Xenopus tropicalis: one gene and its partner. The protein of the gene in region 2 purifies or fractionates together with the protein of the main gene of each other region. This does not show direct contact. Links are inferred from orthologs where the notes say so. Each region holds a gene or a part of one and is shown on either strand. Other genes may lie near its edges. The genes, in order: trub2 and rcc1l.

Region 1 (4,572 bases), on a different chromosome or scaffold from region 2:
CAGCTATAGCCCCACTATACCCCAGTACCCCCTGACAGCAGCTATAGCCCCATTATACCACCAGTACCCCCTGACAGCAGCTATAGCCCCACTATACCCCCAGTACCCCATGACAGCAGCTATAGCCCCATTATACCACCAGTACCCTGTAACAGCAGCTATAGCCCCACTATACCCCCAGTACCCTGTAACAGCAGCTATAGCCCTACTATACCCCAGTACCCTGTAACAGCAGCTATAGCCCCACTATACCCCCAGTACCCCCTGACAGCAGCTATAGCCCCACTATACCCCCAGTACCCTGTAACAGCAGCTATAGCCCCACTATACCCCCAGAACCCCCTGACAGCAGCTATAGCCCCACTATACCCCCAGTACCCCCTGACAGCAGCTATAGCCCTACTATACCCCCAGTACCCCCTGACAGCAGCTATAGCCCCATTATACCCCCAGTACCCCCGTGACAGCAGCTATAGCCCCACTATACCCCCAGTACCCCGTGACAGCAGCTATAGCCCCACTATACCCCCAGTACCCCCTGACAGCAGCTATAGCCCCACTATACCCCCAGTACCCCCTGACAGCAGCTATAGCCCTACATTTCTGCCACAGGTTATCGGGCAAAGAGAGATTTATGTTATGGCAAACTTTGGGTTCAGCCTCAACCGCACTTGCCGGGAAGCATTTTCTAGAGGCAATAGAGAAATACTGCCCCCTGGTGGCCAGGCTATAGAATGTGGGTGTTTGTATTTGCCAAGCAGTACATTTTGAATAAATCCTCTGTCAGGCTTAGAAGAACCTGGGTTTATATTTCTATTACCTGTAGCAGGAAGTGTTAGTGCACGCTTAAATACATCCCCAACTGGCAGCTAAATGCAGATTTCTGTACATTGGCATCAGTCGGCCACATTCCAACCATGGGGCAAGGGAAGTGCAACTGCATTCAGATAGGTGTCTGTCTGGGACACATTCAGTCCAATGGAATTCAAACACATGGAAAGCTAGGGAGTTGTTCACACTGACTAAATCACCTCGTGAAGCTACTGGTCAAACTAAGCTCAGCTTTAAGCCACACAGAAATCCCAGGTAAGTGTATAATGGGTTAAAAAGGAGCACATTTTTATCCTAAACTCTGCTTGCCGGTTGCTACAGTTTCAGTGACCCTAGCAACCAGGTTGCAAAGGTATTTGGCGCAGGTCAAAAACAAAAATACAATAGAAAGAGTGCCGCACATATATATTATATATATTAGCAACTACCTACATTTGCTATTGATAACTGAATATCCATATATCTATATATCATATGTATATATAATCTCAAAAAAGAAAAAATATATATATATTTGTATATCTATACATAATATATAGGGAGAGAGCCTAGCAGGACAATGACAACAGGAAGCCATAAGAAATGGCAGCTGAGGTATGTTATACACAGGCCCCCAGATAGATCAATGGATAAAAGCCCCCACTATTCCCACCACTAGACCCCTGTTTGCCCACATACATCCTTGTCCAGCAACCTTTCAGCAGACATAAAACAAAATCTCATAAATTGAACAAAAGTTATCTGTAAAATTTACCTGAGACTGCATGGGTGGAGCAATATGGCGCCTAACGCCCCTCAATCTATGAAACCTCCGCCATGTTGGTGCTCCCAAAGGCGGCGGAAACACGTGACGGTGCAGAGGCGGATGTTTATGGCGGCGCCCGTAAGCGGCATGAACTTGTGTTAATGTGACAGGCCGAGCTGAGGCTGCTGGGATTGGGGAATTGAGCGGCAGGTCCGACTGAGCCACTGCTGGTTATCCCTGTCACAGAGCCGCTTGTGTGTGAGTTCCTCTCCGTCACAGGGTTTCCTGGGGGTATTAACCCTTACTGTGTATTAGCCTGCACTTTGTATTTACCCCCAGTACCCCGGAACTATAGCACTGTTACCCCAATGTCTCTATATATCTGTAACCTTGTTATGGGCTAAGGGGGCCCAGCCTGAAGGCCAGTTAGGGGGGGATTTGGGGTGAGTGCTTATTTGTGCCCTGGGTACCTCTGGAACTATAGCGGGGTGACTGTTACCCCAATGTTTCTATATATCTGTAACCTTGTTATGGGCTAAGGGGGCCCAGCCTGAAGGCCAGTTAGGGGGGGATTTGGGGTGAGTGCTTATTTGTGCCCTGGGTACCCCTGGAACTATAGCGGGGTGACTGTTACCCCAATGTTTCTATATATCTGTAACCTTGTTATGGGCTAAGGGGGCCCAGCCTGAAGGCCAGTTAGGGGGGGATTTGGGGTGAGTGCTTATTTGTGCCCTGGGTACCCCTGGAACTATAGCGGGGTGACTGTTACCCCCAATGTTTCTATATATCTGTAACCTTGTTATGGGCTAAGGGGGCCCAGCCTGAAGGCCAGTTAGGGGGGGATTTGGGGTGAGTGCTTATTTGTGCCCTGGGTACCCCTGGAACTATAGCGGGGTGACTGTTACCCCAATGTTTCTATATATCTGTAACCTTGTTATGGGCTAAGGGGGCCCAGCCTGAAGGCCAGTTAGGGGGGGATTTGGGGTGAGTGCTTATTTGTGCCCTGGGTACCCCTGGAACTATAGCGGGGTGACTGTTACCCCAATGTTTCTATATATCTGTAACCTTGTTATGGGCTAAGGGGGCCCAGCCTGAAGGCCAGTTAGGGGGGGATTTGGGGTGAGTGCTTATTTGTGCCCTGGGTACCCCTGGAACTATAGCAGGGTGACTGTTACCCCAATGTTTCTATATATCTGTAACCTTGTTATGGGCTAAGGGGGCCCAGCCTGAAAGCCAGTTAGGGGGGGATTTGGGGTGAGTGCTTATTTGTGCCCTGGGTACCCCTGGAACTATAGCGGGGTGACTGTTACCCCAATGTTTCTATATATCTGTAACCTTGTTATGGGCTAAGGGGGCCCAGCCTGAAGGCCAGTTAGGGGGGGATTTGGGGTGAGTACTTATTTGTGCCCTGGGTACCCCTGGAACTATAGCGGGGTGACTGTTACCCCAATGTTTCTATATATCTGTAACCTTGTTATGGGCTAAGGGGGCCCAGCCTGAAGGCCAGTTAGGGGGGGATTTGGGGTGAGTGCTTGTGCCCTGGGTACCCCTGGAACTATAGCGGGGTGACTGTTACCCCAATGTTTCTATATATCTGTAACCTTGTTATGGGCTAAGGGGGCCCAGCCTGAAGGCCAGTTAGGGGGGGATTTGGGGTGAGTGCTTATTTGTGCCCTGGGTACCCCTGGAACTATAGCAGGGTGACTGTTACCCCAATGTTTCTATATATCTGTAACCTTGTTATGGGCTAAGGGGGCCCAGCCTGAAGGCCAGTTAGGGGGGGATTTGGGGTGAGTACTTATTTGTGCCCTGGGTACCCCTGGAACTATAGCGGGGTGACTGTTACCCCAATGTTTCTATATATCTGTAACCTTGTTATGGGCTAAGGGGGCCCAGCCTGAAGGCCAGTTAGGGGGGGATTTGGGGTGAGTGCTTACAGTTTATAGTATAATAACCACGTTACGGGAATCATCATTGCGCTTTGCAGAACATGAAGTGATTGGGTGGAATCATGGCCCAATTCGCCCCTGGGGTCTTCCGCACGTTACACGGGCTCTTCGCTGTGTATAAACCCCCCGGGGTTCACTGGAAGTCGGTGCGGGATACAGTGGAGACAAATCTGCTGAAAGGTAAGGTGCATTGGTGGTGGGGGGGTTATCTGCACGTTTATTATTATTAATGGGACTGGCCATATTGCACCAGACTAATATAAATTGTTAGATCCCTGTGTTGCTGGGCGGGCAGCGTTGGTCTAATTACAGAAGCCCGGATGGGTCAGTGTAACATTGTTTTTGGGTACACTTTACAGAACTGAATGCGCTAAAGCAGCGAGCCCCCCGACAGCAGATCCGATTCCTGCCGGCGGGTACAGAAGGGAGCAATGGGCTGGAGGTAACCAGAGTCCCCAGCGCTGTCCCAGTCCTGGCTGATCATGTCCTGGGTGAGTACCGATTGGTTCCCAGCGAGTATCTGTATTGGGCCCTTCCTACTTCCTTCTCCCCCTTCCTGCCTACCCTTTGCCCCCACTTCCTACTTCCTTCTCCCCCTTCCTGCCTACCCTTTTCCCCCCCTTCCTACTTCCTTCTCCCCCTTCCTGCCTACCCTTTTCCCCCCCTTCCTACTTCCTTCTCCCCCTTCCTGCCTACCCTTTGCCCCCCCTTCCTACTTCCTTCTCCCCCTTCCTGCCTACCCTTTGCCCCCCCTTCCTACTTCCTTCTCCCCCTTCCTGCCTACCCTTTGCCCCCCCTTCCTACTTCCTTCTCCCCCTTCCTGCCTACCCTTTGCCCCCCCTTCCTACATCCTTCTCCCCCTTCCTGCCTACCCTTTTCCCCCCACTTCCTACATCCTTCTCCCCCTTCCTGCCTACCCTTTGCCCCCCTTCCTACTTCCTTCTCCCCCTTCCTGCCTACCCTTTGCCCCCCCTTCCTACATCCTTCTCCCCCTTCCTGCCTACCCTTTGCCCCCCCTTCCTACATCCTTCTCCCCCTTCCTGCCTA
Region 2 (4,390 bases):
TGCCTGCCTGTTCTTCTTGATGTCCCATTATTGGCTCCCTGAAGCTGAAGATCTAGGGCATGAGCATGCGGACCCTTTAATATTATGGGTAAAAATTCTACTTCATTCACCTGAGTCCTATGTATTCTTTGTTTTTTGGATTGTTCATAGAATATAAACAGCCAGACAGATATTGCATTCAGTAGTAGTATTAGAATATTTATAAATTATATTAAAAAACAAAATTGTATATTGGAAAGCTGCTTAGATTTAGAATTTCTTTCAATGCACAAGTTTTGGGTGGAGGTGCCCTTTAATAGGGTAGAATGCCAGCAGAGATAGAAAAGCCTAGACAAGATGGGCACCCTATGGAGGGTAGACTGATAATCTCTTGCTGACACTGGTGAATAGACTTGCTACTTACCTTGACTCTCGCAAGCCAAATGTGCCACTGCCATATCAGCTGGGTTCCTTTATCTTAGCTTCGATCAGCCACGTATGTTGCCACAGTGGGACTACAGTGGTGTCATTTAGCTGCAAATCAATAAATAATGTATTCACTATATTTCAAAAAGTATTTCATGCTTATTCTCAGCATTCTAAAATGTATAAAAAAAAGAATGTATAAAGTGGGCTTATACCTGTATCCAGGGCTTCCACTGCTATACACACATTGTGTACTAAATGCATAACTGTCAGTTCAACAAAGAACATACTTTAGGGCTTCCCCACAACAGGTACAAAAGGAAGAAGCCTGCTTATCTCAATATGCAATTAGTACAACATGAAAGAAAAAATACATACGGTAGCGATATGTTCCCTCTTCTCAGCGTTGTCAGTTAAACGGTCACTATGGATGAAGCGTTGGGTTATGGGGATTGTAGTCCAGTGTTTAGGCCCCGCCTTGAATTTTACACACTAAAGAGAAAGCTCTCTAACACAGCGCTTGTGTCTTGCACTTCCTGTTCCATCGCCGATCTTAATGACGCCATCGACACTTCACTGGTCATATCTTGGAAAGGTGGACTGGAACAATTCCCCCCAATCTTACATGGCACAGCTAGCCTCTGAAGAGACTGATACACAGAGCCTTTGCACAGAATGGCAAAGTGACCAATTAAAAAAAATAGCACAGTAACCCCCCACTCTCAAAGAATAAACGGCTCCAAAATTTAATGATTAAAGCACAAAACGACTCCTATTTAGAATTACGAATCTGCAGTTCCCTCCTCGCTAGCTCGTTTGTTTACTTGGCCCTTCCCGGAAGCTACTGCTTTATCATGTTTTCTCCTCCTCTTTTGGAACTAGCGAATAGCTTAGAAGAGCTCTCTTGTGAATAACTGTAAACCAGACTATGATTGGCTAACTTAGATTGGCTAACTAAGATTGGCTAAGTTTTGGGCGGGGCTACGCTACAGCTAAAAATGAAAAATACAGTAAGGAGGGTAAATGGCAATGACCAAGACAGGAGGAAGTGGGAGGAGCAAGGATCGGGGGGGGGGGGGCGTGAATAATGATGGGGTTATAGAATGTAGGACTGCTGATGGGAATACACGTGCAGAAGAAAGCGCATTCAGGACTGCAGTAATATTAATGCATTCCGGCAACGCTTCAGTTTTGCAGGTGTGATAATGAAAGGGATGAACTGACCAATTATGTTCTTGTACAGGGCACCAAAGGGATAAGTGGGGGTTTGATATAGTCACGCTTCTTGTCCATAGGTATGAAGTTAAAATCAAGTACTACCCTTCCAGCAATCTGGGTAAAGGGACATCAATGTGCTCTGGGCCCTTCAGTAGTATATTGCAATATTGGGCTCAGCATTCTCTGTTAGGATGATGAAACTTATAGCTCACTAATAGACAGAAAGCTGTGGGATCATGCACAAACCTTTTCAAGTACACAGATAAGGCATCAGATCACCTCTTTGTAATAAAATGCAGTAAAATCTCAAGTGTGTTAATTATATGGGTTATGTATCCCTGGACATAGGTTTCATGACAACCACCTACAAATGTGGACTTCATTGTTCTTCAGAGGCCACTGTATTCTGAAATGCAAAGGTCACCTTCAGAGACATTTGTCTGCCAAAGTTAGCAAGAGCAGAGAACAAGATGAACTTCCAGTGTTTCAGTATGTGGGCGAGAGAGCAAAAAGGAAGGAGCGGGTATTCGTTTGGGGATTTTCTCACACAGGAGCATTGGGCATCCCCAGTTTTGTCATCCCTGAGACCGGAAGAAAGAAACCAAAAAAATTCCAGCTAACGCCCTACAGGTTGGATATGGATGAAAAGGTGAGGTATAGGGGAAGCTTATGTATAATCTACTTAGAAAAATAACAATCATCTCTAATTTACCAATCAATTTCCCCTTTATTACCAACATGTAGTAATACAGAAAATTACCAATTACCAATTTAGTAATTCCCTCATAGAGAAGTATTGTACTAAACCTAAAGGGATTCTCCAGACCCTGTCTGCTGTGCCTCCTTTATTTACATACTTTTGTATGAAGACTGAAGAAGGTTGGGCGATGCTGTTCTATAAATGAAAGCAGCAGGCAGGGTTGAGCTGGGGTAGCCGTATGGCGGTGGGTGGGTAGCATCCTATAAACTGCAAATTACTTGCAGTTTATGCAACTCTCTAACTTAATCATTACTCTACTAAAAGTAAACACAAATCAACTTCCCTTATTCTTACCTGGGTAACATTCCCTCTCAACAGGTTGTACTGACGGGGTGAGGTAGTAAAAGAGGAAGATGGTCTAACAGGAATTCCATATAAAATAATTTTTCTTCTTAGTTGTCACTTTTGCATCAAGGCCATTAAAATATTATTCCAGTTGTTTTATGAGCCTGGAACCAGATAGTTAACTTGGTCCCCCGATTTAAGTTTGCATATAAGATCAGGGGTTCACGCAAATTAAATTTAACAAAGTTTTGCTGGTGTGATATAACTTCCAAATCAACCCAATCACTGGATACTTGACCGAATTCAGCTCCTGCTTTTAAAGACCACTATCTCTTATAACACCTGTAACCACTACATTACCTATGGCAGCAATTGCTAAAGACTTGTATATGCCCTGAACTCAAGTGAAGCAAACTTTCTCATACTTCCTTACTGTACTATTCTGATGTGATTGCTAAATTAAAATGTGCAAGTTGTTGTGTTGTCTAAATAATAAAAAGTATTATATAAAAAAAATATACGAATACTGTAATATGAAAGTTGCAAAGAACCAATGTTTTTTTTCTAACAATAATTAATTTTTATATGCATTTGTAGATTTCATCAGCGGCTTGTGGCTATGGATTCACTTTACTATCTTCAAAAACTGCTAACATCACAAAGATTTGGGGAATGGGGTTGAATAAGGATTCACAAATTGGATTTCATAGAAGCAGAAGAGATCGAAGTGAGTAATACTATACTATCTCTTCCCCACACTGTGTGAACCTCACTGTTCCTTGGGCATTGAGCATGCTTAACAGATTCCATTGGATGTCATTTTCTAATCCTACTGGCAAAAATACCTCTCAAAGCGAATTGCGGTGCCATGTATGCCATTCCACCAGCGATTTACATTCTAGCCGGTGGGATGGCATTGCAGGGAGATTAGTCACCCGCAACAACGGAGATTTGTCGCGGCACGACTAATCTCCCTGTGTGTCACTGCTCTAAAGGGTATTGTTGCCAACATTAACATTTTAATCTTACCAGCACAAGTCTCTTTTCCAAAAATGATTTGTTTTTTTATTAGTAGAAGTAATGACATGCAATTATTTGTCTCTTGTAAGCTAAAGGATATGAGTACATTCTGGAGCCATCTCCTATCCCATTACCATTGGATAAGCCCCAAGAGACCAAAGTGTTGCAGGTGTCTTGTGGCCGGGCACATTCGCTCATTTTGACAGACAAAGAAGGAGGTAACCAATACTATTGCATTATCTGTACTTTTAAAGTAGAACTGATATGGTCACAATTAGAATTGTTCTGAAAAGTAAAAACAACAAAGAATATGGCTTCTTCTGTAGACTTTTGCTTCGATACACAGTGAGCTTTAGCTTCCTACTATTTGGCTATTGGGATTTATTTGATAATGCCAAACAGGAGTGTTAGAACAACCTTGGATAGAAAAGATTCTTTGTATCCTAGTCACAACAGCCAGGCTTAATGAGAAGGACTGAGAGAAAGCTGTAGAAGCTAACTACACTAAAAGCAGATTGTTCTGCCTTAAAATATTGTTATACTGCAGCACTCAGAATTTCCTGACAGCTACAGCTTGGGAGGTTCAGTTGATTTCTAGATGGTTGTAAAACCTTTTCGCATGTATAAATTTGCCATTTATTTTGCAGTTTTCAGTTTGGGAAATAACTCTTACGGGCAGTGTGCACGAGAGGTTATTGAAGG

Evidence for each region.
Region 1: the proteins of rcc1l (region 2) and trub2 purify together in Homo sapiens (affinity purification with mass spectrometry; 3 studies listed by BioGRID and IntAct, with this or other methods). This does not show direct contact. The link is inferred for Xenopus tropicalis from reciprocal best matches to the Homo sapiens genes RCC1L and TRUB2.

The regions. Positions count from the first base shown.
Region 1 is NC_030684.2:3,160,555-3,165,126, reverse strand, and holds the start of trub2 (mitochondrial mRNA pseudouridine synthase Trub2), read left to right. Parts: upstream 1-1,678; 5' UTR 1,679-1,834; intron 1,835-3,541; 5' UTR 3,542-3,587; coding exon 3,588-3,705; intron 3,706-3,884; coding exon 3,885-4,016; intron 4,017-4,572. UniProt on the Homo sapiens protein: Minor enzyme contributing to the isomerization of uridine to pseudouridine (pseudouridylation) of specific mitochondrial mRNAs (mt-mRNAs) such as COXI and COXIII mt-mRNAs.
Region 2 is NC_030678.2:101,942,196-101,946,585, reverse strand, and holds the start of rcc1l (RCC1-like G exchanging factor-like protein), read left to right. Parts: upstream 1-1,471; 5' UTR 1,472-1,602; intron 1,603-1,971; 5' UTR 1,972-1,993; coding exon 1,994-2,272; intron 2,273-3,265; coding exon 3,266-3,395; intron 3,396-3,777; coding exon 3,778-3,906; intron 3,907-4,335; coding exon 4,336-4,390. Other genes in the region: cep97 (centrosomal protein of 97 kDa), read right to left, coding at 404-437. UniProt on the Homo sapiens protein: Guanine nucleotide exchange factor (GEF) for mitochondrial dynamin-related GTPase OPA1. Activates OPA1, by exchanging bound GDP for free GTP, and drives OPA1 and MFN1-dependent mitochondrial fusion. Plays an essential role in mitochondrial ribosome biogenesis.